Linked DNA regions of Lonchura striata. The protein of the gene in region 3 interacts with the protein of the main gene of each other region in a pairwise test. Links are inferred from orthologs where the notes say so. Each region holds a gene or a part of one and is shown on either strand. Other genes may lie near its edges. The genes, in order: MAFK, WAC, NFE2L2 and MAFF.

Evidence for each region.
Region 1: the proteins of NFE2L2 (region 3) and MAFK interact in binary tests that used the Homo sapiens proteins (3 or more experiments, as listed by UniProt). The link is inferred for Lonchura striata from reciprocal best matches to the Homo sapiens genes NFE2L2 and MAFK.
Region 2: the proteins of NFE2L2 (region 3) and WAC interact in a two-hybrid assay, tested with the Homo sapiens proteins (2 studies listed by BioGRID and IntAct). The two-hybrid records come from large-scale screens. The link is inferred for Lonchura striata from reciprocal best matches to the Homo sapiens genes NFE2L2 and WAC.
Region 4: the proteins of NFE2L2 (region 3) and MAFF interact in binary tests that used the Homo sapiens proteins (3 or more experiments, as listed by UniProt). The link is inferred for Lonchura striata from reciprocal best matches to the Homo sapiens genes NFE2L2 and MAFF.

What each region holds. Positions count from the first base shown.
Region 1 is NC_134618.1:12,878,875-12,886,526, forward strand, and holds the start of MAFK (transcription factor MafK), read left to right. Parts: upstream 1-4,651; 5' UTR 4,652-4,698; intron 4,699-6,862; exon of another isoform or gene 6,863-7,652. Other genes in the region: lysosomal alpha-glucosidase, read right to left, coding at 1,210-1,232. UniProt on the Homo sapiens protein: Since they lack a putative transactivation domain, the small Mafs behave as transcriptional repressors when they dimerize among themselves.
Region 2 is NC_134603.1:141,328,567-141,335,712, reverse strand, and holds the start of WAC (WW domain-containing adapter protein with coiled-coil), read right to left. Parts: upstream 3,008-7,146; 5' UTR 2,907-3,007; coding exon 2,866-2,906; intron 2,740-2,865; coding exon 2,703-2,739; intron 1,331-2,702; coding exon 1,135-1,330; intron 1-1,134. Other genes in the region: microtubule nucleation factor SSNA1, read left to right, coding at 4,679-5,023.
Region 3 is NC_134610.1:22,648,030-22,655,072, forward strand, and holds the start of NFE2L2 (nuclear factor erythroid 2-related factor 2), read right to left. Parts: upstream 3,007-7,043; 5' UTR 2,965-3,006; intron 1-2,964. Other genes in the region: AGPS (alkyldihydroxyacetonephosphate synthase, peroxisomal), read left to right, coding at 3,118-3,311.
Region 4 is NC_134607.1:23,669,176-23,676,192, reverse strand, and holds the start of MAFF (transcription factor MafF), read right to left. Parts: upstream 3,009-7,017; 5' UTR 2,892-3,008; intron 1,814-2,891; 5' UTR 1,793-1,813; coding exon 1,757-1,792; intron 1,676-1,756; coding exon 1,262-1,675; 3' UTR 1-1,261. Other genes in the region: PLA2G6 (85/88 kDa calcium-independent phospholipase A2), read left to right, coding at 3,630-3,838, 4,310-4,525, 5,727-5,907. UniProt on the Homo sapiens protein: Since they lack a putative transactivation domain, the small Mafs behave as transcriptional repressors when they dimerize among themselves.

The DNA.
Region 1 (7,652 bases), on a different chromosome or scaffold from region 3:
CACCCGGACGGCTCAACCCGCCGGGGCCTGGCCGCGAACCTCCCCGAGCGGCAGCGCCTCCGCCTTATGCAACCGCCCGCGGCTTCCCCACGCGCGGCTGGCCCGGGGACCTCTGCACGCCACGGCACACGGCACACGGCACACGCAGCCAGGGACAGCGCCCGGCGGGGACACACAGCCAGGGGGACACACAGCCAGGGGGACACACAGACAGAGGGGACACACAGCCCGGTGGGAACACACAGCCTGGCATGGACACACAGCCCGGTGGGGACACACAGCCAGGGGGACACACAGCCCGGTGGGGACACACAGACAGAGGGGACACACAGCCCGGCGGGGACACACAGCCCGGCGGGGACACACAGCCAGGGGGACACACAGCCCGGTGGGGACACACAGACAGAGGGCACACACAGCCGGTGGGGACACACAGCCGGGGGGGACACACAGCCCGGTGGGGACACACAGACAGAGGGGACACACAGCCAGGGGGGACACACAGCCAGGGGGACACACAGCCCGGTGGGCACACACAGCTGGGTGGGCACACACAGCCAGGAGGACACACAGCCCGGTGGGCACACACAGCTGGGTGGGCACACACAGCTGGGTGGGCACACACAGCCGGTGGGGACAGACAGCCAGAGGGGACATAGGCACACACAGCCCGGTGGGCACACACAGCCCGGTGGGCACACACAGCCCGGTGGGCACACACAGCCAGAGGGGACACACAGCCCGGTGGGGACACACAGCACGGTGGGCACACACAGCCAAGGGGCACACACAGCCAGGGGGGCACACACAGCCAAGGGGCACACACAGCCGGTGTGCACACACAGCCCGGTGTGCACACACAGCCGGTGTGCACACACAGCCCGGTGGGCACACACAGCCAGGGGGGCACACACAGCCGGTGGGCACACACAGCCAAGGGGCACACACAGCCGGTGTGCACACACAGCCGGTGGGCACACACAGCCGGTGTGCACACACAGCCGGTGGGCACACACAGCCGGTGTGCACACACAGCCGGTGGGCACACACAGCCGGTGGGCACACACAGCCGGTGTGCACACACAGCCGGTGGGCACACACAGCCGGTGGGCACACACACCGGCGCGTCCCCGGGCGGGCACGGGCAGCGCCGCGCCCCGGGAGCCCCTGCCCGCCTGCGGGCCCCGCTCCGGCCGTACCGGCGCTTACATACGCGTGTCTCCTCTTGACATTGTGGCGGCGGGCGGCGGGCGGCGGGCACCGAGCACCGGGCCGCGCTCCCGGCGCTGCGGCTCCGCCGGCCCCGCCGTAAACACCCGACGAGCCGCTCGGCCGGCTCCTACCGCGCCTCTGGAGTAGCAGCGCATCGCCCCTCCTCCGCGTTGGGCGGTTTTTCAATTTTATTTTTAATAGTTGTGTCTACGCTCGGTGCTGTTCAAGAGTGGGGAGTATGGGAGAGTGGAGGGTTTTTTAGGTTTTTCCACAGTTGATGCATGCACGGTGTCAAAACCCAGAGAATGAACAGCTCTGTGCCCTCTTATAGGGTGAGAGCAATTTATCCCTGCTCAGTGGCTTCAGGGAATCGTGATGCTGGGTGTGTTTTGGGCCAGACTCACAAAACCCCACACATCCCAGAACACTGCCCTTTCTCCATCCAAGTTTTCACCAGAGGTCCTGTCTCCCATGCACTCCTCTTCATTTGCTTAACAAGTGTGTGTGCTGCACAGGCTTTCCCACATTTCAAGGGACTGGAGAGCTGTTCTTTGTTTACTTTGAAGGCCACCCATGTCTAAAGTTCAACAGCGAATGAAAACCGACCTTTGGAGCACAGATACTTTCCCCAGGGAATGAAAACAAAAAGTAACCTGTTGTGAACAGCAAAATTCATCCAGAAACAGAATTTCACGTGACACAGCTGCTCCCCTCCTGCCATATGTGATCTTTCAAACCCCATGTTGTTGCAAAAAGAGGGGGAAATACCTCAATTCTGTTGAGCCCCATATGCAGGGCTGTCACCACAGACGGTGAAACCCCCATGCAGGATGCAGCCAGCCCATCCCTCCTGCCCTTGAGGACCAGCATCTTGTGAATGTCTCAGGGATAAACCCTGGATGATTTAGGATGGCTCTGGCCACTCTTGGTTATCACCACTCAGAGAGAGCACAAGGAGCAGGTGGCTATGCTGGGGACATCTGTGGCTCCAAAGGCTCCCACACCCAGCATCTCTCTCCTTGCTTGGCTTGGCTCTCTGAGACACTAGAACCTTCCTGGATGGAAAGGAGATCTGGAGACAAACCTCAGAAGCATCAGTAGGGCCCTCTAGCCCTTAGATCACCCTTCCCAGCACCCAGGGCAGTATTTCAACCAGTGTCTGCAAACCTGGGAGAGGTGAAGGCCGAGCTGTTGCAGCTACACTGGACAGCAGCTTCATGCCACCCACCACCTGGGAGCTTTAGCCAACCTCATTAGCTCAGTTCCAGTGATAAATGGGGATTTCTTAACATCAGGGAGGTGCATTCACCTAAACCTTGCTCTGGCTGCCCAGATGCATGGGGCTGTGCCAGATATGAGGCTCCCTGTGTTTTGCAGCTCTTGTTATTCAAAGGGAGCAGGGAAAGACGGGATCTTACTCACAGCCTCAGTTATGGCCCTTAGGCTGGAAAGCACAAACTGCATGAGGCTCACACAGACTTTCCAACATTGTAATGGACACAAAGAATGCAAAACAAGTCCAGCTGAGATGGAGGCAGTTTGGTTTAGTCAACTGCCTGTGTTATTACATTTTTTGATGCATTATCATCATTGTTGAATGGCCCCAGGGTCCGAAATGCTGTTCACACCATAGGGGTCAGGGTGCTGTGTTTAGTAGCTCACATAACTGCATGAAGAAAGTGCAAAGATTGGGTTGAGGATCCAGCCCTGGGCAGGATTTGGCCCTGCTGCAATGCTCAGGGAGCTGCAGGACGAGCAGTGCTGGCAAAGGCTGGTCCAGAGCTAGTGGAGGACAAGGCTAGTCAGTGGCCACCTCAAGGTGCCCAGGGAACAAGTGAGTCCTCCCAAGAGCATTGGGATGCCCAGGACATGTTCCCCCACCATCATTTGCCCTGCAACAAAGCCAAGTGCTGGTGCTGCACCTGGGTCAGGGTAACTCCAGATATCAATCCAGACTGTGGGATGAATGGATCAAGAGCAGCCCTTCCAAGGATTTGAGGGGGCTGGTGGATGAGAGGTTGGATATGAGCCAAGAAAACACTTGCAACCTAGAAAGCCAACTGTGTCCTGGGCTGCACCTGGCCAGCAGGTCAAGGGAAGTGATTCTACCCTTCTGCTCTGCTCTGTGAGAGCCCACCTGCAGTGCTGTGCCCAGCTCTGTGGTTCTCAGCACAGGAACAACATGGAGCTGTTGGAGTGAGTCCAGAGGAGGCCACCAAATTGATTAGAAGGATGGAGCACCTCTTGTATGAGGAGAGAATTGGGATTGCTCAGCCTGGACAAAAGAAGGAGACCTTCAGGGAGCTCTTACTGTCATCTTTCCCTGTCTGAAGGGAGCCTGCAAGAAACCTAAAGAGGGACTTTTGACTGGGGCACGTGGTGGCAGGACAAGGGGTAATGGCTTTAAACTGACAAAGAGCAGGTTTAGATTAGAAATCAGAAATAAATCTTTTCCATGACGGTGGTGAGACACTGGCACAGGTTACACAGAAAAGTTGTGGATGCCACATCCCTGGAGGTGTTCAAGGCCAGTTTGGATGCAGTTTGGAACAGCCTCGTCTAGCGTAAGGTGTCCCTGCCCATGGTGGCAGGGGGGTTGAAAGGCGATGAGCTTTGAGGTCCCTCCCTAACCAACCATTCTATGACTGCACAAAACGTGTGAGCTCCCGCCATCGGGGCTGATGCGGGTGGCAGGGAGCTGCCGGAGAGGGGTGAACCCCGCAGCGGGGCGGGGGCACGGGGCATGGCGTAGAGGAGACGGGGATGAGGATGGGGATGAAGAGGGATAAGGATCAGGGTGAGGATGAGGATGAAGGGGACACAGAAGAGGGATAAGGATCAGGGTGACGATGGGGATGAAGGGGACACAGAAGAGGGATAAGGATCAGGGTGAGGATGGGGATGAAGGGGACACAGAAGAGGGATAAGGATCAGGGTGATGATGGGGATGAAGGGGACACAGAAGAGGGATAAGGATCAGGGTGAGGATGGGGATGAAGGGGACACAGAAGAGGGATAAGGATCAGGGTGAGGATGGGGATGAAGGGGACACAGAAGAGGGATAAGGATCAGGGTGTGGATGGGGAGAAAGATGGAGGTGAAGGAGGGATGAGGACCAGGATGAGAATAAGGATGGGGACGCGGACGAGGACGAAGGGGGGCGACTACGTGCCGGCAGCGTGGCCCCGCCCGTCCCGCGCCCTTGCCCATGAATGAACGGCGCGGCGCGGGCGGTCCCGGCGGTGACGCGGCGGGCGGGCCGGGCGGGCGGTGACGCGCGCGGTGACGCGCCATGCCGGAAGCGGCGGGGGCGCTGGTTGGTCGGCGGCGCGGCGGGGGGGAGGCGGCCGCCCCGCGCTTGTTGTTGTCCGCGGGACTCGCTGGCAGGGAGGGAGGAGGGAGCCGCGCAGCGCCCCCGCCGCCGCCCCCGCGCCCCCGCCGCCCCCGCCGCCGCCCCCGCCACGGGGCGCTCCCGCCGGCACGCAGGTGAGGAGCCGCCCGGGCGCGGCGCGGAGGGGGCGGGGGCGGGGGGGTGGGTCGGAGCCGGGAAAGGGGGGGTGGCCGCGCGTTGCCGCTCGATGGCGGGGGAAGGGGCGGCTCGGCGCGGCTCCCGCCCGGGTCCCGCTCGGTCCGGTCGGGTCCGGTTGGGCGCGGGCGGGCGGGGCGGCGGAGGTAAAAGTGCTGAGTCACCACCGCGCCGGGCACGTGGTGCCGCCGCCCCTCGCACCGGGCCGGGCCGGGCCGGGCGCGCACGTGGGGCCCGGCGGAGGGCGAGGGGAGGGCGGCGGCGGGGCTCGGGGAGCGCCGCCCGCCCCCGCCGAGCGGCCCCCGAAGCCCCCGCGGGGCGGAGGCGCGACGGCCCCGCCGTCACCGCTGCCCTGTCACCTCGCACCAGTGCGGAGCCGGCTCCGCTGAACCCCCGTGGGACGGGGCTGGCAGCGCCCCCGCACCCTAGGGGACGCGGGGCTGAGGGTCCCCTGGCTGTTTGCCGGGGTGATGCTTTCCGTGTCTCTTGTTGTTATTTTTCTTCCCCCCGAGGATGAGCGCGCTGCCTGCCTCTGCCTTTGAATGGCTCTTAAAATACATGTGAGGAAACCTGTTGTGACGCCGCGCGCTCCGCCGACTAAGAATAGCAGCTTTTGTAGTACGGAGGGAGCCGGGGCGCAGCCGGGGCCGGGCAGCGTGGCCGGGCGTGGTGGCGGCTTCGCGATCCGCTGTCCGCCCCGGGTTATCGGGCAGGAGCAGCCGCCGCCACCGGGAAACGCCAGGCGGGCGCGTCGCTGCCCATCGGATGGGCTGGGGGTCAGGGCTGCGGCGGGTGGGGGGCTTATCTCTGCTGAGCACAGCTGCTGGTTGGGTCGAAAGAGGGAGAGGTGCATGGTGTGTTCGGTGCCGGAGCCTGTGGGGAGGGAGGGCTGCGTGTGCATGGGGCCGCCCTGGAAACGGGGTGCTCTGCGGCCGCCGAGGGACGGGCCGTGGGAGGAAAGGGGACGGTGACATTCCGGGAGCGGGCACTGCCGCGTGACTGTCTGGTGGGTGCGGGACGGTTTGGGGATCTAATCAGGAGTGCGGAGGTGGGTGGGGGGAACCTCTTCAACCTCCCCGTGACGGCAGCGGCATAAGGTGGGGAAACATCCAGACCACGAGCGACGGGAACCGAGATCGCCAAACTCTCACAGTGTGTCAGGGTCTGTTTCCTTCCTCCTCCTCTTCTTCCTCGGGCTGAGAGCCCGTTCCTCTCCCTCGTGAGTTTCTCCGTGGAGGATTTATTTTACAGATTCTGCTGAAAGCAGGCCATGAGGTCTCAAATTAGGAACGAGCCCCCTTTGGGCAAAGTTGTTACAGAAAAGGGAAGGGCCTCCATTTTCGCTTTCACCTGGCCGCCCCCTCCTTTGCTAGCGTGCCTAATGCTGAGCTGGGACTGCGGAAGGTGGAGGGAGCCAGTGCGAGCTGCGTGTTTCCCTGAAAAGCTGCACGCCTTTTTCTTGCACTTTCAGTTTTTGTAATGAGCCCTGTGGCGGTCGCAGCCCCGCGCCCCAGCCCTGCGCCCCGTGCTGTCGGGCTTTTAGCAGCGAACGAGTTTACCTGGTGGGTGGGCGGTGTTTTATGTTTTTTTTTTTTTCCTCACTGATGAAAGCAGCGTGCGTCCCTCCTCTTTTTTTTCCCCCCTCTCCTTCCGTGTGTGTCCGCGGTGCTGCCTGCGGAGAGCCCTTCCTCGAGCCTTCCCCGTGCAGTCACTTCCTCGGGCTGATGGACGCCGCGCCCGCCCAATGGCTGCGCGGCCGCGGAGTTCGCCGCGCTCCCGCCCGGCCGCGCTGCCGGCCCCGGCGCTGCCGGCCGAGTCCCCGGGCCGCTTGCCGCAAGGTTGGGCACACGGTGACTCTGGCCGGCAGGACACCCTGCCCGCTTCGGCGGCCTCCGAGCTTGACGGCTTTGAGCCCTCTTAGGTGTTCTCGGCTGTATTACGCCAGCTTCTCGCCTTGCTTCGCAACTGTTTCTGAACCACAGGCAGAAATTTGTTGGCGGTTTTTTATTTTATCCCTGCTTGCTTGTCAAGGGCAGCGTGCTTTGTCATGTTTTATGTCATTTCTGCGCCGTCGCCCGTCTCGGCAATCTGTTGCAGCATGGAGTTCAGTACTGCTGTGTGCCTCCTGAAAGGGAAAAATACAGATCAGCTTGATACCCTCTGATTTCCATCAGCATTGGAAGATGATTAATGGCATGGAATGTGCTGCAGGACTTGGTATTGAAAATCTCTAGCTGTGTGAGATGTTTGGGAAGTGAAGAAAGGACAGCTGGGAGCGCTGGCCCCTGCGGCAGTCGGGGTTTGCGGGATAAGCTCGCTCACTGATCATTTTTGTAAACATCCAGCTGTGAAATACTTGAGCGGTGCTAGCACTTTCAATTATCAGGAAGTTTCAGGCTCAGCACCCTGTAGAGATGAACAGGCAATTTCCACTTCTGTCTCAGCTATTGTTTGAGGCTATCTTCAAACTTGGGCAGAGAGTCTTCCAAGCATGAAGCAAGCACAAGCAATGCAGTGCCCTGTGACCGTCAGCACAAGGGCTGGGGGAAGGCAGTAGTGAGAGCAATTACCCTGGCACTGTGCTCCTGAGTTGAGGGACAGGCTGCATAGTGGATCCCACTGCTTTGCAATATTGAAGGATGCCAAATAGCGATGCCGCTATGTTCCGTTATTACAGTTAGTGAAGATCGCTGACTTGATGGCTGGCACTTTGGGTCAGAAGCAGCAAAGTTAGGAATCCCAATCCCAGTTCTGCCCCAGGGTCTGGCTGTGCATCCGAGGAAGTTACTTGTTGCTTGGTGGTTCAGCTTGTCCGGCTGGGGAGCTGCATCTCTGGGCTGGTGATGCTGAGGTGTAATTCCAGTATATCTCTGTCACCGCGTTTTACAAGCACGTGATGGAAAAAGTGCTGTAA
Region 2 (7,146 bases), on a different chromosome or scaffold from region 3:
AATTCTGAGATTACTACACTTCAAATTATTATCAGATACAATGAAATTCAGCGTATTAACAAAAGAGGCATGTTCTTATAATGCACCTACACACTTCTCTGTCATTAACAGTGGCCTAGAGAGCCTCAGCATTAAACCAAAGAAGGAAAAACAAATAGGATTTACAAGAATAATTGGGTATCCATGAACACATTTGTAGGGTTACACTAGTATGTCCTAAAAAGGTACTTGAAAGATACTTCCTTTATTTTACTAAAACTATTATATCAAGTAAAACTAGTGCAGCAATAAACATGTATGTACATCAGAATTTGTTAGCTTTATACAGAAAAAAGAAGCACTGATTTAAAGCTCCAAATTCTCTACTGGAATACTTCACCTTGTACCTTGACACAAACACCAATCAACAGAACAAAAGAACTTTTCCAAATTCAGACAGCAATTGCAATTTTCTAAACTCTGGCTGTTTGTTACCTAACACTGTTATTACCTGGAAAATCCTATTATTTTCCTAGGAAGCAGGGATGCAAAATAAGATCAGTTAAAAAAAACTGGGGATATTGCTACTGTTTATAAGCCTGTAAAAACATAGGAGGCTAACTTGACTGTGAACATACTTCTTCAAATTCCAGTCAAGAAAGGCTCTAGTATGTGCTACCTTTGATCTATTAGAGTTCTACATAGCAGCTAAATACAAAGAAGCTTTTTTCATTTCTGTTGGAGTTTAATCTATAGAGCATGTACCTACAAAGTACAACATCACAATACGCAAAGTCATTGAAAGGATGCAAAACAGCCAATATTACTAATGAAAAATTGGAAAACTATTTCATGTTATCAAACGTTGCTGTATGCCTAAATAAATGAGACATACTAGTTAAAATAATAACAAAAGGGTTTATTTAATCTTTGGGACTGTAAGGAAAACTACCATACCTGTAAAAACCAGAAAATTAATAGGTGTTATAATGCCTCAATGATTGCTTCCAATTAAATTCCCACTTTGGGTTCACTGCAATCACCCTAGCTGAGTACAAGGCACATTTAGTGTAAGACATCACTTGAGTTGATACTGGTTAATTTTAATGAGAAATCAGTGACTGGTTAAGTAGAAGTTTGTTAAAGATAACTTACCACCATCCCTCTCTCTAACTCTGTGAGTGTGCACACTTTTTGCTTTACTGTGCCCTGTGTTGTCACCGTATTTGTTTTCAGGGCTGTCAGAGCGCCGCAGCATTTTATTTGGTGGCGAAGGATCTGTGGCGTCTCGCATCTTGTCATGACGGTGATCACCACCACTGGGGTGACTCTTGGATGTGTACTTAAGAGCCTGTAACAGATCACAAGAACATAGGCATCTACATTAGATACAAAATTTTTGGATTTTTTTCTTCTCTTTCAGAAGTATTTTAAAAGTTAAATAATTTTCATTGCCTATTAAAACATATCAGCATTAGTCTTCCTAGTTTTAATTACCTACATTAAAGCAACAAGTTCTGTAATTAGAACTTAAACCAATTTCTCCCACTATTAAATCAAATGCAACACTTGCTGTTAAGAAGAATCCTAGTTTCTCTATCTTTCCACTGATGAATTACACAGTTTCAGCAGTAAATGGGCCACAGCTCTTCAACAGTTTTGGGAGAGGAACTAGTCTCCACTTGTTACTAGGAAAACAAACTTTAAGTTACACTGAATCAGTGTAAACTTCGAATATGTCCTCCATAATCTAGTAAAGACCACCTGGTTGCATCACTATCTTGAATTTCTGTGACGTTTTTTTCAGTACTAACATCCTTGTAATTAAACCAAAAATAATTCTAGGGGGCCAACATGTAACATAATAACTCATTATAAACTCTTTACCAAAAACTACATGTTCTGCCGCACTCTGACCTGCTTGGTTTTGTGAACTCCTGAGAGGCAAGTGTTTACATTTTTGTGAACTGCCACTGACAGCTGCCTTGGACGGCTCTAGTGCACTTCAGTGATTCAAATACACAGAAATGCAGTAAAACAGTCCAATTCAGGGCCCACAGAGAGCAATATCACAACATACAGCTTTCCACAGACTCGAACCTCGACAATTTGGTTTCTTCAGTAGACACAGTAAAGTGCAGTATCCACCTTACACAAATTGAGACTATTGTCGGTAACTCAAGGATTTGATGGTTTCTGAACATGCCTAGCAGCTGGCAACTGCAGAAATTAAGCCTCACTTGCAGCCCCAAGTTGGTCAGGCTCTAAACCCATGCCCTGCTCAGGTTACAGCCCACAGCAGCAGTTTTGGGGAGAAGAAAGGGCTTTGGGGAGGGGTTGGGGGAGGGGGCGGTGGAAGAGCAAGACTCCTTTTGTTTTTAGAAGAAAAACATTCACCTCCCTTGGATCTCCACTCCACCACAGGTGACCCCGGCTCCCTCTCCTGCCCCTCGCACCCTCCCCGACTCCAGGCCCGAGCCCCGCACGGGTCGCACTAGGCCGCTCCCGCTCGCCCCGGCTCCGCAGGCCTCGGCCGAGCAGCGGGGCCCCGCTCCCCGCGCCCGGGCCGCCGCCGCTCCTCCGCCGCGCGGCGCCGGGCCCTGGGCCCCGCAAGGGGCCGGACCGGGGCGGCCGGGGCACCGCGGCCTGCGGCGGCCGCCGGAGCCTCCGCTGGAGTAGCACCCCCCCCGCCTCCCCTGCTCCTCCTCCCGGCCCGGCGGTACCTGGTAGGGCTGCGAGTCCCCCCTGCGGTCGTGACAGCTGAGGAGAGAGCGAGAGAAAGAGAGAGAGGCGTTAGCGAGCGCCCGTTACCGGCCCCGCGGCCGGGCCGAACATGGCGGAGGGGGTGGGGGGGGCGGCCCCGCGGGGCCGAGGGGGTGAATTTACCCATCACTGAGTCTCTGCTGTTTCCTCGCATACATTACCATCAATGCCCGGCCTGTGTGTGTGAGGGTGAGGGGACCAGGAGGGCACGGCCGCGGCCGGGCCACAGGCGCCGAGGGGGGAGGCGGGGGCGGCAGCGCTCCGGGGGCAGGGGCGGGGGAAGGGGGCGGCTCGGGCAGCTCGGCTGGAGCGGCGCTCACGGGCCCATCGCCTCGAGAGGGGAGACGCTGGCAGCTCGGCCCCGCGCGCGCTGAGACACACCGGGAGCACCGACTCGGCCACCGCCTCCCCCCGCCGCGCCCGCCGCCGCCGCTCCAACTACATCCGGGGAACTCGGGCGACGCCGCGCTCGGTCAACGTCGGCTCTTTCCGGCTCTTTCCGACGCGCTCCGTCCCCTCTGTCCCCTTTGCTCTCGGGCGACTCTGCCTTCGGTAAACATCGGCTGCGTCCGCCGAGCCCGACGCCCCTCAGTCCCTCCCTTCGGCAAACATCGGCTGCCTCCGCCGCGCACGACGCCCTTCAGTCCCTCCCTTCGGCAAATATCGGCTCCTTCCGTAACGCTCGGCCCTCCCTGCCCCTCCCGCCTCGGCCCACTCTTGCGAGCGCTACCTGTCTTCGGAAAACATCGCGTTTTTCCGGAGAGACGTTTCCGTGCGGCCGTCAGGGCGGCGCCACGTTCGGAAGCGCTCGGGTATTTCCGTGGGCCGGCGCGGTCGCTGGCGGGAGCACGGGGCCGGGTAGCCGAGGGCAGCGCGGCCTCGGTGGCAGAGCCGCTCCCTCGGTGGGGAGGAATCGCGATCCTGCCAGGCAGGTGGGGGCAACAGGGGGAATTACGGGGGGCGGGGGGGACATAGGAATGGGAAGGTCTCCTCTTACCTACCCCCTCCTCCCCTTCCGCCCGGGCACTCGATGTGCAGGCGGGAGCCATTTTGTGCGCGGCGCGTGTCGGCGGGGCCGCGCTGTGCGGCGCGGAGGGTGTTAAAATGTCCCTGGGACGGCGGCCGCGGGCTCGGGCTGGCCTCGGTCCCGGGGTGTCCTCGGGGGTGTGAGGGCGGCACACGCCGTGGCCCCGGCACATGCGAGCCGCGTCACCCCAGTGTTGGGGGAGCTGCGGGCGCCGCCGTGTCGGGAGATTCCCTGGCCTTGGCAGTGCCTGCTGAGCCACTCAGGGCTGTGCCCGGTGACAGGACGAGGAGCGACGTCCATAAACTAAAACACGAGAAGTTTCACCTCAGAATGAGGAAAAAATTCCTTTGAGGGTGGAAGAGCACTGGATTAGGCTCCCTGGGAAGGGCGTGGAGTCTCCCTCTGCGGAGACATTCAATACCCACTTGGTTGCTCCTGGTGACCCTGTCTTGCCAGGGGGTTGGACTGGATGATCTCCACAAGTCCCTTCCAACCTTATGCATTCTGTGATTCTGTAGTTTTTGCTTATTTCTGACCAGGCCCTCGAAGTCTGATGTACAAAGCATCCTATATTCAAGGTTGTACAAAGGTATTATTAACCGTATCATAAATACTTCGATGCCAGTGCCATGGCAGTGTCATAAGGGACAGCAGTTTACAGTAAAGGTTTAAGAACATTTGCCAGATTTTGTCCTGTCTGCCTCCTGAAAAGGGAAGAGATGTGGCATATCTGAGAATGGGCCTGTTAACTTAGAGAACCTTGCCCAGTGGCTCCATCTGTGCTAGTGAAGCATTATTCACGGCAATGCTCTCACAGATTTTTTTTTTTTTCTGTTTGTTTGTTTGTTTTCCTTTAATTTGAGTGCAGAAGGCCATTGCTGAAAGGGGACTTCAGGGAGTGAGTGCAGGATGACTCAGCAGGGAGCTGTTCTTCAGGGTTACAATAATGAACTAGTGAAATGCATTGAAGATTTATGTATGCAGAAAGAAGAATTGAACAAACAAATCCGGCAAGCAGAAGAGGAAAAGAATAAACTCCAGCATGAAATCCAAGTCCTCAGTGAACAGCTGGAGTGTGTATGTGAAAACTTGGCCCAAAAAGTGGCTTCACGGAATGAGCTTGATAAAATACTTGCTGAAACTGAAGCTGCTTACATGAAGATTTTGGATAGCTCTAGAACTTTACTTAATGTCCTGAAGAAGGAAGTGGGAAGCTTAAAGCATTCACCAGATCTGAAAACCCATGTAACATGAAACAGTCAAATGTTTGGACTCTGCAGTGCTAGAATTCCACTAGGTGAGAAACGTGGTCAGCCACGGAACCCTACAGCCACAGTATAAGCAGAGAGCGGTTTTCTTCCAGTCTTTCTGTATGTTTTTTTATTTTCAAATGCACTAGAAAACAGATTAAATAAAGTTGCCGTTTTGCTTTAAGAAATCTACCTAATTGAACACTACGAAAAATAGCAGATAGGTAGTTGAGGCAGATGGGAGACTGTCAGTTTTGACATCATTATGCTTCAAGTCTTAGAAAAAAGGCATGTTTTATTGGTTGACTTCAGATGGCTCCCAGTAAATTATTCTTTGAAAACTAGTAGATGCAAGTCAATCAGATACTACTTCTTTTCATTTTACTAATGCTTAGGCTTTACTGTTGGGACCAAGTTGAAATGAGCTACTTTTACTTTGCTCTAGGAGCTCGGAGTTTTGATGCCTGCACAAAGACAGCCCCGTTTACAATAATTGCCTATTTGAATAATAGAGGGATAAGGTGAGAAATCAGGAGTAATGCAGGGCATGGAGGCTTAAAATTTAACACTGTATGTGGTTCATGCATCTTCTTAAGGTATTCTTCAAAGCCTTGTTTAGAAAGGAGATGTGCTGCAGTGAAAGGGTTTGGTGCAAGTGCAAAGACAGGTGCACCATGAAGGCTTGGACCAGTAATTCACTTGGGGGTAAGAAAATCACGTCAGTAGCAACTAGAAGTCCTGAAAAACCACTGGGGTCCAGTTAAAAATACAGAGGTAAATAAAGACCAAAGAAGATAATCCTGGCTAGAAGCCAGTAATAGAATTTTTGGAAGCCTTTTTAGTTCCTTTTAGCTTTAGACTGATCTGTTAAATAATTGTAATAAAATTGTGGAGAATAGTAAACATCCTAAAATGATATGAAAGAAATACAAATGAAAGGTGAAAGAAGAAAATGAGAAGTGGTTTTCAGCTATCAGTCATTCTTACAGAGGACATTAAAATAGAACTTAGTTTAGAGATCAGGGATAATATAACAGCATGGCATAAATATCAGTTTAATGCTGTTTTTTGTTTCTGCTGAACCTCTCTGTTCTGCAGAAGTCTCTCAGCAGTGTGTGCACGTACATGTGCATTTTGTCCCTCTTATTGAAATGTTACAACAATGACTTAAACTGAATCTCCATTCAATACCAATTACTTAAATTGAAAGAAGTGCAGTTGAAATCTCCTGACTTGATAGTGGTGTGTTTGTAAGGTGCACATATAGAGGGAATGAAGATGTGAATAGTTTTGGTAATAGCTCTTCATCAATAATAGGGAGCAAATTTTATGTTCTTCTGGTTGCCAAGCTACATCAGGGATGATTGTGACTAGGCTAATCAGTTTACTTGTATGGCCCTTTGGGGAATTCCCAGTGGGTAATGCAGAGGTAATAAAAGTGTATTATCTCAGGAGCATTGCTATTGGAGTATTGCAGCACTCAGGACCACTTTGTTTATGTTGAAGAGAAACAGGAAAATTTTGCTATTTTTTGTAGCAAAAAAGTGATTTATTTGACTGGACATTTTATGACATTCTATCTGCCCTTAGACTCATAGTAGTAACTGATTTACTGGGAATAGGAAGATTCGGGAAAAGTACTAACTAAAGAGCAACAACTTGGAGTTGCAAATGTAAGCTGCTTCTTATTAGCTGCACTAGAACTTAAAATTGTGAAAAACAATTTCTATAATAGAAATATAATAGAGAACAGTACAGTTATTTATAGTATTGGTTTCAAACAATAATTACAGGTTTGTTTTCCTTAGAGTAATCATAAATAATGCCTCTTGCTCTACTGAAGCTGATAAAACTAAAGAAGCTTTAAGAGAAGCCTTATAAGACTTTAAAGAAATCTACTTCACAGCCATTATTATGGCTAGTTGCATTACAGTGTCAAAACTAAATAACTGGAGGTGCTCAATTTTTTTTTTTTACTAAAAAACTAAGGGAAAATGTAACTTGGCTAGTACTTACACACAGATGGGGGCTTCCCAACATTCAAATAAAAAGATGAAATGTTGCTAGAATTCCATGATTGGGATCGAGTGAACCCAATCTAAAATTTCCATTTAAATTCACATTTAA
Region 3 (7,043 bases):
TCCACTCAAGGCAAGAAGATTTATCAGGAGAGTTTTTCCTTTGCACAGCCTGTGTGCAGGTTGCCTAGGAGTGGAGTGTTTGTCCTGAGAGCATGCTCCGTCCGTGTCTCTCATGGGACCACTGCGTAATGGAACTCTGAGACACCTTGTTATGAAGACCTCTCTGAAACTTTACAGTACTTTGGCAACTTTATTTTGTTTACACTGTAAACTGGCTTTAAAACTATTTTCTGAAAATGCCAATGTGCAGAATTCTGGAAATGCAGGCCTTTGTTGGCATGAGGTGTCACATTGAGCTGGCATCTCACTTATGCTTACAGATGCACTCAGTTTTGTGGGCAGAACAGCTCATGGAATGGCAAAGGCTGCTGCTTTGGCTCAACAACAATTAGAATACTTCCAACTACTGCATTGTAGATCTGCTGGTATTTTTACTGATAAAAGTTCTCTTTGGTGTCACAACAGATTACTTTCAAATTTGTTTTCCCTAAATTTTCTTCTTGGCACTACTACTTATCAGAATGAATTATATGGTTAAATTAGATACAGTTTTTGAAAACATGCCAGTGGTTCACTTCAGCAAATGAGAAACAGTGACCTCACAATCTGACAGCACATTATGTTTCTGCTGCTTTTTATGAAGATTGCCATCCTTCCAAGGGAAGCAGGGATTGCATGCAGAGCACTGGTAGGAGCTTAGCAGTCTTACTGTAAGAAAATACCTCTCTCACACGAAAACAAGGTGTGACTTAGCTATTCCTCTGCTTTGCAAAAGACAAGGCTCTCAAGAGTTTCCAAATCATACCACTACGTCTCTAGCATCTCCAGTTAAATCTTCGTTCACACACATACTTAAAGACTAATTTGGAACTTTTTTGAGAAACAAGTTGTGAGGTGATTACAAATATTACTTATTAGATTCTAGTTGAGGCCAATTTTTAACTGTGAAGCTCTACAATTAGGATCAAATAAATGACCAATTGGCTCATTATTGTTCCTTACAAGTGACTGTGATCCAAGGAAACATTCTAGGAAAACCTGAAGCCTACTACAGGGGATTTGGTATTCACTTGGCAGCATTCAGCAATGAGGAAAGTTTTAGGTAACTGTGACTCAAAGTCCCCCCAGCTATACCCAGAACTTCAGTAAACAATGTGAGTGGAAATTCAGTTGAGACCCATATTTGTTCCCTACAGACTGCCTCTGCAACAGCAGACAGCTAAATGTGGATATGCATGAGTTAATCCAGAAATTTGTGTACAAATTATTCACGGGGGGAAATTTAATTCCATAACCAAACTATTGAACTGCCACAACAGCTGTTTATGTTGCACTAATACCGGAAACCTAACTTAAGCCTGAGTGCAACTAGTGCAATCACTGCCCCAGGAAAATTGCAGGCTACTTTCTAGAGAAAGTATACAAAGGGTATAAAATCAATTAGCAATGGTGAGAATAAAAGCAAAACAAACAGTAATAACACCTGGGTGGCTTTATGAACTGCTTCTCATCAGTAGGCATTACTGGGGTTGGTCCTATATTGTCACGCAGTCCATAGTGTATTTATCTTCAGACCAGTCTCTCTGGGGAGATCCTGTTATCCCTGATATATATATGGGAGCTGTGACTCAAAGAAGCACCAATATTGCATGTGAGGTGAGGAACTGAGCCCAAGGCTCCCTGCTTGTGCAGTACAGCCTGCTCCCTGGGGAACCTCCTGCAAATTGCTTAGTTCATGGAAAGGTACCATGTTGAAGTATCATGGGAGAAATAGGTCCTTAGAAGAGGTTTGGAAGAGGGTAAGAGCTTTATCAATTTTCCTGGGATTGTATTTCACGTAACAAACATTCGATGAAGAAATTAACAAATAAATCAACATTGATAGACAAAATGTCATTATCAAACTATCAGTCATTGCGTAGACCCCAGCAATCTACTTCAGGACTTCCAAAAAGCTGGTCGGTGCCAGTCAGTGGCAAAAGCCGATCATGAAAGTAGGTCCTGTGTGACAACTGAGTAGACTACAACATGTGAGATACTTCATGCCACAGAGGAAAAGCTGGAATTAATCTGAGCAGGTCACCTTGCCCTGAGCAGAACTGCTTATAATGGTATGTCTGATAGATGTATGTTGTCTGTTCTTAACGCTGCTAATGAAGGTGACTTGGTTCTCTACTTAGGCAGACTACAACAGTTTTTCATTTCCACTGCCATCAGAAAATAGTCTAATGCTAATACTGAAGTTACATCTTGCAGTTTGAGCTCATTACTTCTCACCAACCTAGCTGAGTCATGACGGGCAGATTGCTTCCTTTCAGTCGATAGCAATCTTTTACATATTTGAAGACAGAAAACCTATTTTCCTGTTCTACTTTAAAGTATTTCCAGTTTTTGCATCCTTTCCTGAGCATTCAGGTGCATCAAGGTAAATTCACAGCAGAAAGCACCTGGGGCTGGCATCAAATCTGCATCTCCCCTTAAATCCCAGTTGCCCTCTTCAAAGTGATGCTACAAAGTGAATCCCTGATGTTCTCCCAGGTCCCAAGTACGGTGAGGATGGCCGGTTGTTGCAAGGATCGGCCCAGTGATGGGTATCCCATACAGCAGGCGATGCATTCCCAGCAGTGGGTCAGCAATCATTTCTGGGGAGCAGATCAGCAGCCGGATCCTCCCCCTCAGGCCAGCCGGGTTGCACAGGCACAGAGGCACCTGGCTCGGCAGCCCTGCGCTCACCAGGGCTTTGTGGCCCTGTCAACAGCGATGATAAAATCTGCAACACCTGTCGGATTATCTGCCACCACACCGACCTATTTCTTAAGTAACCCGCCTATGCTATTGTCATTAATTAGCATTTCATCATTAACTTGGGCAATCCTTATCTCTAAAGGACACTCTGTGTTCTCTCCCGTTTGTTCAGCGACCCAGAGGGGCTGTAATTACAGCACCGGAGGCGGGAATCCTTACCGAACGCTTTCTCCCCGAGCCCGGCGCTGCCGAGGCGCGGGCCGGGGCCGGGCGGGGGCGCGGCCGGGCCGGGCCCGCGCGGGGAGCGCCGGGCGGCGCCTTCCGCCCGCGCGCCCTCTCACCCGGCGGCGGTCGCGGCGCAACGCGGAAGCGATGGCGGCCGCGGCCGGCGAGGCAGCGGGAGGCGGCGGCGGCTCCCCGTCCTCCGCCCGCCGGCGGCTGCGCATCATCTCCGGGCACCTGCGGGGCTCGCCGCGGGCCCCGGGGCGGGGAGCGCTCTCCCCCAGCCCCTGCAAGGCGCAGGGCGGCTCCGCCGGGCCGGCCTCCGGCTCCATCCCGAAGAAGCGGTGGGTGCGGGCGGGGGTCCCCGCGGGCCGGCGGCGGGGCCGGGCCGGGCGCGGTCCCGGAGCGCGGGCCGGGCTCGGACGGCGCTCTGCTCCGGCCGGGCGCGGGCACGGGCCGGCGGGGCCCGCGTGGGCTCCGCGGGAGGAGGGCGGCTGAGGCGGGTGCCGGTCGCGGGTGATGTACATGGCTGAAGCCGTTCGCCGCTGCGGGCACTGGAGGAAAGCGAAAGAAGGTGGTCTTCAGCCTCTTACCTGTTTCTGTAGTAAGTGGGATGGTGTTAAAATGGGAAGTCGTTCATGGTCCTCTGATTCACGTCTGTAGATGTGATGGAGAAGTTTCGTTTTCGTAAAATACGTCGAGGCTTCTCTAATGAGGAATGCAGCACGTGTGAAGAGCAAGGTCTGTGGTCTCTTGGTCCTCTGCTGTTCACAGAAACCTTCAGCTGATGTGAATACTGGCAGAGTGTGCTCACGTGTGAGGTTCTAACAAAACTTTCTTAGAAATGAATGATTTTAGAGCTATCAAATACTTTTTCTGGTTCTTGCTGTCTGTAGTAGTGAGTCAGATCACATGACACCAAGGGAAAGCAGTCAAATTCTCTAGTTCACAGTTATTTCACTGGCTCTTGGCTTTGTTTTTCTGCTAGATTTTTTTTTTTTTTAAATGCTATGATTATAATACCATTATGTAGTTCCATGTAACTTGTTATTATGAGGCCTCCTTTCTGTTGGAGTGGACTTGTATTAGTTTTGTGACTTTCTTCTCCCCCTTTCTATCTTATAAGAGCATTTTAAGGCTTAGGATGTAGACAACCTCCTATTCTCTCTCGAACTGTGTACAGGAACTCGTTTGTTAGTGTATGGGCGTAGTCCAGAGGCAAACTGGGCAAGCAGTGAATAGAGGAGCTGTTCCTCGTTTGAGGAGAATCCATTCAGCCTATGCTTTGCTCTCAACCTTTTCAAAAAGAGAGCAAGGAACAGCCTGGATTCTCCTAATAGGCAAGTTGTGGCCTACAGTCACAAGCTGAACTTGCCTACTTTGGGAGGACTGGGATGTCATGCACATATGGTCAGATGTGAACAGCTTTGAAAGCTTTTAGTTCTCATTGAGGAGAATTTGATGCTTGTGCTGCTCACTGGGACAGATGGGTTGTTCTGAAGTTGTTGCCTTCCATATTGAGTTTTTGTTTGGTTTGAATCTAGGAAGAAATCACTGTTTATGGAAAAATACCAGCTTAGCTGTTTTTCAGGGATTTATCTTAAATGGATTGCTGTATAATTTCTGCAGCCAGTTATTGCATATGTGAAAAGCAGGAGAAAACAAACCTTTGATGCCTGTGACCTGAAAGATAGCTTCTTTCTCTGTGGAAACATAGGCTTGGGGAACTTAACATTTGTACTTCTACAAGTTATTGATATTGCTCTCCCCTATTAGGATTTGTTACAGGATCATAATGGGTTAGTATTTTTACTGTAAATAACTTGATCTGGACTCAGAATGAAAATTTGCTGTGGGGGTGTAAGGGAAAGCTTAGCTTGTTCTTCACTAGAGGTATAACTTTCTTGCTGTACTTAGAATGCTGCCTTTTTGTATGTGTAGAAACAAGAAAAACATAAAGGGATCTTTATCTCTGTCTTAAGTTTCTGTCTGAACATCTGAGGTATGGTTGAAACACACCTAAGATGCTGCATGTGGAAATTCTGATACTTCACTATAGCTAGGCTATGTGGATCTTCGTTGAGCTCATGTTTGAGGATAATACCCAGGTTTTGGAGTGATAGAGGAGTGAGTTATGTTGCCTACACTGATTTGGAGTGGGAAATGATGAATGCCTGAGTCTTGTTCTAGTGACTCCCAGCTAATCTGGAGCTGATTTTTATTTGCGATGCTAAGAAGGTTGCTGGAAAAATCTAGTAAAAATAACTGACCTAGAGACTGTGCATGCCTTTTTAAATAATATTAGGACAATCCAAAGCTGGATGATGTCTTCTTGTCTATTGAATGCTGATTCAGCTCTTCTGCCTCTTTTGAATTGTTACTTTAATTTTTCCTAGCAAAGCTGTAGCCAAAAGTACCTTAAGCGAAGCTTTTGTTCTTTACACCTGTTGCATCTTTCCTGTAGTGTTTGAAATAGTAGCAAAGCTATAGACGCTACTTTAGCAGATTCAGTTCCACTCTCCTCATATTACATTTCTTCTGCAAGTAAATTATTTTTTTTTTTGATGGAAAAAAACCGTTTGTAGTACTTTAGGTCTGTGATCACAGAATTTTTTTTTCCGGCTGTTTTTCTAACAGTCAGTAGACAGTGACTTCTAAAGCATGGCTTTCTTGTTGATAGTTCATGATCAAACTGTTAAAGATCTTATCCAGACACTATTTCTCACCAGCAAGGGGAGTATGAAGAGCACATGGTATTGACTGAGTCTGTGGGTCTAATCTAATTCTTCTTGTTTCCAAATAAAAATGCCTTGGAAGACTGAGCAATGCATATTGATGTGTTTCTACTTTTTCAAGTTATAGTTATTGAGATGGAAAATTCCACAGAAGACAAGCAACTATCTATTTGTTTGAGTATTCTCTTGAGGGAAATCTTAGGCACTGTGAGAGTAGAGAGATGTTATTTCTCAGTGGCATTCCTGGCTTAAATGTAATATTTTAATTGAGTGTTGCAGTGAAAGCTGGAATCATAGTTACACAATGTGTGTTGAAGCCTGAAGAAGATGATAGGCATGCTGAAAAAGTTGGTAAAACGATTGAGCTGGAAAATAACTCTTCCTTGAAATTACTTTTCCTGTCCTTTTATGTTATGCTGTTGACTTTTGATGACTGGTAAGCTTGCTTTGCTGGTGAGACTTGAATTAAAAATTTACTTAATCTTCAGAATAACTGTATATACGTGAAGTGTTCAACTTGAACTGCTTTGGAAGCAGTCAGGTGCTACAACTTCCTAGAACAGAGTTGTACCAGAGTAACTGCTGGGTGTGCTCAAAAGTATGAGTGCCTCAGAGATGGATCATGCACTGATGCTGATCTCAAGAAAACTTGTATAACTTACTCAAATCAAACTTTCTATTATTTAGTCTTTGTTAAAAGGGATAATTCATTTAGATTAACTAAATGTTGACTCAGTAGCTTGTAGGCTTAAAATTTATTCTGTTTTGCTGCAACAGAAGGCTGGACAGCATATCCTGATTATCCTATCTCTGTGGAGAAGCTGCTTTCCTAGGGACGAAAAGAGGGTTGTGAATATGTTTTAATTATTGTGGGCATCCTGTTACACAGGGAAAACTAAGGGATAAGCATGTAGTGAGCTGTCTGCTGTGTGTCAAGTTCACAGGCAGGTTGTTCAGGGTAATGTGTTACCTTCTTCATATAGACACTTGAAATTCTTGCTGCTAACGATTATGATGTTATTATGCAGCAACATCAGTTAACTCCTAAAGAATTGGTACCATTTGAATATAAGTGTCTTCAGAGGGGCTTTGCACCTTACCCCCAATACTCAGAGGAATCTTTATAATAAGGACTTCATCCTTTAGAGAACGGTGGTTAAGCAACATGTGTTGCTAAGATGTATCCTGGTGTAGCTGACTTCTGAGTTTAAGATGATGAAAAAGGATGAAGAAGGAAAGGGCTGGTGCTACTTTACCACTCTTAAGAAATCAGAAGGGTAAGAACCTGTTGCATTGAGGAAGGTGTGGCAGTTCACAGGAGGTTCTGTGATTGCATCAAAG
Region 4 (7,017 bases), on a different chromosome or scaffold from region 3:
AGGCTGCAGCCGAGGGCGGCTGGCGTGGCAATACCCAGGCAAGGGCAGAATGGAGGGGCAGGGGAATCATCTACAGCAGCAGATCCTGAGATGGACCTGCCTCCTGCTCCCTCCCCTGTGCTGCCTGTATTTAGCGAACCCAGCTCTTCTCCAGCCTTTCAGCCTGCTCAAGAGCTGGTTGTCCCACACCTGTGTCCAAGCTGGAGGAAAACCAAAGGGAGGAGCCTACCTGCCTGCCAGGCAGCTCCAAGGAGCAGGGATGCTCTCTGTCCCTACTTCCTGCATCTTCACCCCTCTCTCTCTCCACATCTCCGACTCTGAGGGCTGGGAGCACCTTTCCATGGGCTTTGTAGGTGGTGGGGCACCGGGGAGGACTTGGTGGGGCCATACAAGCTGGCCTGTGCTGAGCAAAACAGTGTTTATCTCTGCTCCTGCTGCCTCTGCTTCCTTCCTGCCAGTGCTGCTGCATTTCAGACACCCGGCCAGGCTGTGTGTCCCATCAGCAGGAAGAGGCGTGAAGGATGTGCATGCTAGAGATAGATAAAACAGCACCACTGCTTTTCCCCTTCGTGGACAACAGCCTGGAGTGACCCACTCAGGTCTCCCAGCTCCCCCCTGCCCAATCACTGTCACCTCTGGGGTCCCCCAGCACCACAAGCTGCCACAGTGCTTTCCCATTCCATTCACCCTTACCAGGCATTAACACGCAGCCACTTTATCTCCCCCTCTGACCTGCTAACCTCCCCTTGCCATCTGAATCCCCAGAGATTTCAGACATGCTGCCACCTCCCTTCCTGCTCCAGCTGTGGTCCAGGTTATCTGCCTAATGCCAATACCCTTCTATCATGCCTTCTTCCCCTACACTGCAAAACCTCTCTCCCTGGCACATGCTTCTGGGACTGCCTGGCCCACATGTGGCTCTCCCATGTCCTCTCACAAAAGAGAGGCACGTGGCATTTTCCAACCAGCTTGGAGCTGTGGGATGCTTCCCCACTGCTGCCTGTGTGGGTTCACTCTCTCCTGTCTGCACACCCAAGAGGGGAGGGGGCTATGGGGGCCACCAGTGAGGTCCTGTCCTCCATCCAAGTACCCACATAGCAGCAGCCCTCCCTACCTGGGGGAGCTGGAGGTCAAGGGATGGGAGAAAGAGGATTTTGGGCACAGGTCCTGACAGAGAGGAGGTTGGGGAAGGGCTGGGAGGCAATTCATAGGGAAGGCACCCCGGGGAGGACTGTGCCCAGCGGGGGAACAGAGGCCAGCACTAGGAGTAGGCAGCCTGGTTGGTGCTGGACTTGACAATGGTGATGACACTGGCAGTAGCCACCTTGGCGGGGGGCCCGTGAGTGGCCACGGTGCGGGCGAAGCCCTGCAGGGCCTCGTACTTGCCACGGAGGGTGTCGAGCTCCAGGCGCATGGCAGCGTTCTCCCGGGCCAGCTTGTCCACCTCCCACTCCAGCTCCATCTTCTGCTTCTGCAGCTCTTCCTTCTGGCAGACGCGCTTCACTCGGCAGCTGGCAGCATAACCCCGGTTCTTCAGTGTCCGACGACGCTGCTTCAGCCTCGCCACCTCCTCCTTGGAGAGGCCCCGCAGGTGGTGGTTGAGTTCCCGCACTGACAGCCCCATCAGCTCCTCATCTGACAGCAGTGGAGTGTTCTCCCCCAGCTCCCGCTTCACCTGCCGGAGAGAGGGGTGGCTGCCTGAGACCCCCAAAACCAGCCCCCTGACTCCCAAGCCCCTGTTCTCACTGGTGCTCACCTTCAAAGCCTTGCTGGAGAGCCCGTCTGCAGCCATCCTTTCCTCGCTCTGGCCCTGCTGAGCAGCCAGGAGAAAAGCTGGTTACTGCCAGCCCCGTGTTCCTCACCTCAGAAGAGAGGACACCAGCCCTGCTGGTCCCCTGCCCGCTACCCACATCCCCCCCACCCCGGGCCGCATGACTCATCCCACTCCTTTTAAAAAAGTATATAGTAATAATATTAATAGCAATGATGACTGCAAGCAATAATAATAATGAGGCAAGGATGGACCTCCCACCCTCCTTCATCCCATCACGAGACGGTTGGGATGCTGCTCTGCCCAGGGGACCCAAAATGCCCCAGCCGTCTGCTGGGAAGCCAAGCCTTTCCCGCGGGGAGGAAACACAGGCGAGATCCGCCCGGGGCTGAAGGGAAAGTAAAAGCAGCAGCCCCACCGAGTGACACGGTGGCGAAGTCACCCAGTCGGGACCCGTGTGGAGACGCTGCCCCACCGCCCGGCGAGAGCACGGCGGGTCCCGGCGCAAGGGTCGGGTGTCCCCTGGCTCGGGGGCGGGCGGGTGAGAAGTGGCCGCCCCGTGATTCAGCAGCCCCGGGGTGAAAGTCACGGAAGCGGTGCCTGCCCCTCGCCGATGGCCGGTCCCTCGCCGCCCCCGGGTTCGGAGAGTGAGGAGGGGTCCGGGACCCCGGACTGCAGCCCAGCAGCGTCTCCCCACCTCGGGGAACCCCGTCCTCGTTAGGACAGCCCTCAGAGGGACGAGGGGGGCCGGGACGGGGCCGAGAGCGCCCCGAGAGGAATGAGGGGCTGGAGGGGGGCGGCGGGAAAGGTGGAGCCGGGCCGGCTGGAAGCTGATGCAATCCGGGCCGGGGATCCGCCGCCGGAGCCGGAGGAGCGGCGGCGGATCCCTCCAGGGCGGTGGCCGGCAATTGAAAAGGAAGAACGGACGGCACCGAGCGCGGCTGGCCGGCCGGCCCCCTGTCCCGTCCCCCCCAGCCCTAGTCCCGGTCCCGATCCCCGCCTTCGGCGGCGGCAGAGAGGCCTCCAGCCGGTGCCGGACCCCGCCGCCCCCTTCTCCCGGCCGCCCCGCGAGGGGCGAAGCCGAGGCGGGAGCGGAGGGGCCGCTCCGGCCGGCGCTCACCTGGCGGCTGCGCTGGTCCCGCGGGGCCGCTGCCGGGTCAGGGCGTCGGGCGGCGCCTCCAACCTCGCTCCCCGCGATTACTCACCCGCGGATTCTTTTCATTCATAAAAACACAGTCATGCGGTGACGTCACCCTCGCCACGCCCCCTTACCGCCGCTGCAGCGCGGGACGGCAGCTGCCCTTAAAGCGCCCGCTGCCCTTAAAGCGCCCCGCGGTGCCAGCGCTCCTCGCACGCTGCCAGCGCTCCTCGCACCCCGCGCTGGGAACGCGGCCGCGCTCCAACAGCGCTGGATTGACCTCGAGCTCAGGGGAGGCGCACGACTGGTGAACGGCGCTGCCGGCAGCAGAACGCCCCACCGAAATGGGCCGCTCCCGCTTTAAGAAGGGCGGCCCCACCCCTGTCGCCCCGCCCCTCACAAAGATGGCGCCTTCCGCTCTCCTCCTTCGGCAGGCGGCGGGCGCCGCTTTAATCCCTCCCCCATGGCCCCGCCCCAGAAGCGGCGCCGCTGATTGGTCCGTCCCGGGGGGCGGTGCCGGCGATTGGCGCGCGGCGGGCGGTGCGCGCGGGGGGCGGCGCGCGGGGGGCGCTGGGGGCCCGTCGTGCTTTGCCCGGCGCCATCCCCGGATCCCGCCTCGTCCCGACCCCCGGTCCGGGTCAGCCGTGCCTGGAAGGGCAGGGGCCGGCGGGGCCAGTGGCCGCCTTTCCCTCAGGAGAGGCCGCCTGAGGCTCTGGGAAGATGCAGTTCTTTGGGCGGCTGCTGGACACCTTCAGCAGCGTCACGCAGATATTCTCCAGCCCGTACCGCGTGAGGGAGGTGCCGGCCGCCGAGTACGCCGGTCACGCCTGCCTGCGGGAGGAGGGCAGGGTGGCCCTCTACAAGAACAGCCTCTCTCGCTCCTGGGACTGCTTGCTGGTGAATCCCCAGAGCCCGCAGGTCGCGTTCCGGTGAGTGACAGACCTTTAGCCGTCCCTGCTGACGTGGGAAAACAAAGACCCCAGATTGCTGATGTCGGGACTGCTTCGAGGCCGTGGGTGTGGGTTGTTGTGTTGAAGCAGCAAGTGGGCTGGGAGGCCTGTGCGTGTGCTGGTGGAGGAGTTGTCGCAAAACAGCTCGTGGAAGTAGGACGAGGTCCAAAAATTGCGACTACAGGCAGTTGTGATATAGTTCAGAGCATCCATAGGTCCACATGCATTTCTGCTCGTTCATGTTTCTGTGCAAAACCTGACATTGTTCAGGAAGAGGGGTGCTCTCTTCCAGTGGTCTCCCTGCTTTCCTTGGGACAAAGGTGACCTTAGTTGAAGAAGAAAAGGAAAGTTCCCAGCACTGCCATTTGGAAAAGAGCTGTTTCCCTCACGTACATGGGATTGGGGTTATTCCTTTGAGCAGGATGAACCTTGTGCTTGCCTTTTCTCCAGGCTCTTCCAGCTGGACAACGAAGCAGACGCCCTGGTGTACTTTGAGCAATATGCCCGGCAGCTGCGCCCTTTCTACGAGAGCTCGTGCCAGCCCTTGTCCCTGGAGGAGCTCCAGCAGCTCAGCGACTGCATCCGCAGCTACCCCAGCTGGTCCCCTGCACACATTGCCGTGGAGTTCGGCCGTCGGGAGAGCTTCCGGCACAACCACATCCTGAGGCAAGGAGCAGGGTGTCTCCAGGGGCTCCATGCTCGGAAGGAGCTTGGGAGGACAGGCTGGGCTGTATTAGAGTATCCCTTCTTTGCTGCGGAAGCTGGTTGGTGGGTTTCAACCTGCTGCTGCAGAGCCTGGAGCTCTGGTGTTTAAAGTAAAGGATTGAAGTGTCCTGCTAGAGATACTGATTAGGTTATTGCAAGCCTTCTGGAGCAGCTTTTTGGAGGAGGTTTTTGCTCGCTTTGTAAGCACTGAGAGTGGAGATATGGTAGGACTGTCTGGAAAGAGGTTTTGGCCACAAAACCTTGTTGGTTTTTCATGGGGAACTTCTGCTGTGATTTAACCCCAGCCAGCAGGCAAGCCACATGCAGCCACTCCTCATTTCCATACCAGAGGGAGTGGGGAGAGAATTGAAAGAGTAAAAGGTAGAAAACCTGGGTTGAGATAAAGAAAGGGAAAGCAAAAGCTGTGTACACAAGCAAAGTAAAATAAGGAATTGAATCACTGCTTGCCACAGGCAAGCAGGTGTTCAGCCACCTCCAGGGCCCCATCATGCATCTAGGTGACTTGGGAGGACAAATGCCATCACTCCAAATGTCCCCCCACTTCCTCCTTCTCCCCACACTTTATATACTACGCATGGTGTCATATGGGCTGGAAAATCCCTTTGGTCAGTTGGGGTCACCTGTCCCAGCTGTGTTTCCTCCCAACCTCACCTGCACCTCCAGTTTCCTTACCAGTGGATCAGTATGAAAAGCAGAAAAGGCCTTGGCTCTGTGTAAACTCTGCATAGCAATAACAAAAATATCTCTGTGTTCAGCACAAATCCAAAACATAGTCCCACACCAACCACTGTGAAGAAAGTTAACTCTACCCGAGCCAAAACCATCACAGATTTACCGAGGATAGGGCAGATTGGTGAGGAGGTAGGGGACTGGAGGGCAAATAGCAGCACCATCTCTAGGTTGCTGACTGTAACCTGTTTCCTGCCTCCCTTTGGGCAGAGGGAGTTGATCCCATATGGAGGGCAGGGAAAGGAGCAGCCTGTCAGGGAGATAGTCCAGGAGATGGCTACTTGATGTCCCTTCCCTCTGCTTCTTCTCTGGCCAGAGGCTGGGCTTTCCTGAACTTGATGGTTCACACCAGATGGGACACATCTCTTCTCCGTGGCCATTCCTGGGCCTCACGCTGAGTCCTCTCTTGCAGCTGTGTGAACAGCACGGACAGCGAGGATGGCTGCACCCCACTGCACCTGGCGTGCCGCAAGGGGGATGTGGAGTGCCTGCTGGAGCTGCTGGAGTGCCACGCGCGGGTGGACATCACCGACAAGAATGGGGAGACTGTTTTCCACTATGCTGTGCGAGGAAACAACCCCCAGATCATTGAGGTGGGAGCGACTTCTAGTTTGGGAGAAAGTGGGACTAGAATGGGTCTTCTCTGTGCTGTGATAGAGGTGGGAAAACAGCTACAGACAAGGGAAGAGAAAGTCAGTTCCCTGTGTTGAGTTATTGCTTAAGCCTGATTTCAGCCTCTTATATCCCCTCTTTACTGGTGCTGTTTCCCATATTCAGAGTGCAGATTCCACCCAGCACTCAAACAAGGATGCTAAGCAAGTTTCCCCAGAATGTAATGCTTCTCTGCTTTTTTGCATCAGGCCTCTATCCTGCTTTACCTCAGGCCTGTGGCCATCTGTTCCCTCTCTCCTGCGAGCAGGGTGTTTGGTTTTGGGCAGAGTGCTCCTATAGGGAAGTGTGTGCTGAGGCTGCCATGGGGGATCGTGTGCTGCCCACAGACTGAAGGGCAGTTTGGAGCTGCAGGACCTGCTGTTTGAACTGAGTGGCCTTGCATGGAGCACAGTGATCAGAGCCTCGAGGCAGAGACAGTCTGAGGTTGTAGATGTTCTTGATTGCTGAGAAGTGCTGGGCAGAGTGACGGGGTTTGTAAGGTGTGGGTGGCCTTGCACATGGTTCCTGAAGTCTGTCAGCTCCCCAAGACTTGGTGCAAGCCTGGGACTGACTCTTCCCCATGGCTGCAATCCCCATGTTTGCCCAATACCTGTTGTGACAGCTCTCCCTCTGCCTACCAGTCGGTGTTGGAGTTTCCTAATGCATGATGAGGATCAGGGCTTGCCATGCTGTGGAGTGGGCACTTAGGAACTTTGTGTTAAGAAGATATCCTCTTCTTTATTTCTCTGGTGACATCAACTTGGCTTGTTGTGTGATCTTTCTCATGTTTGTTTTCTGTATTGATTCCTTGCTAAACCAACAAAAATAAACTAAATTTCCACTTCTCATATGTGCACCAGGGCTTGCAGGGTTTCCCCAATGTGGCAGTGAAATACTTTTCTGCAACAAACCAGTCAGCATGTAACAGATCTGCAATTTACAGGGAGCAGGGATGAAGAGGACAGGCTGTAGCATTGTGAGGGGTCCAGTGCTCCAGAGACTGTCCACAGAGCTCAAGAAGAGATTATGCTCTTCCATGTTTATCTGTCTAT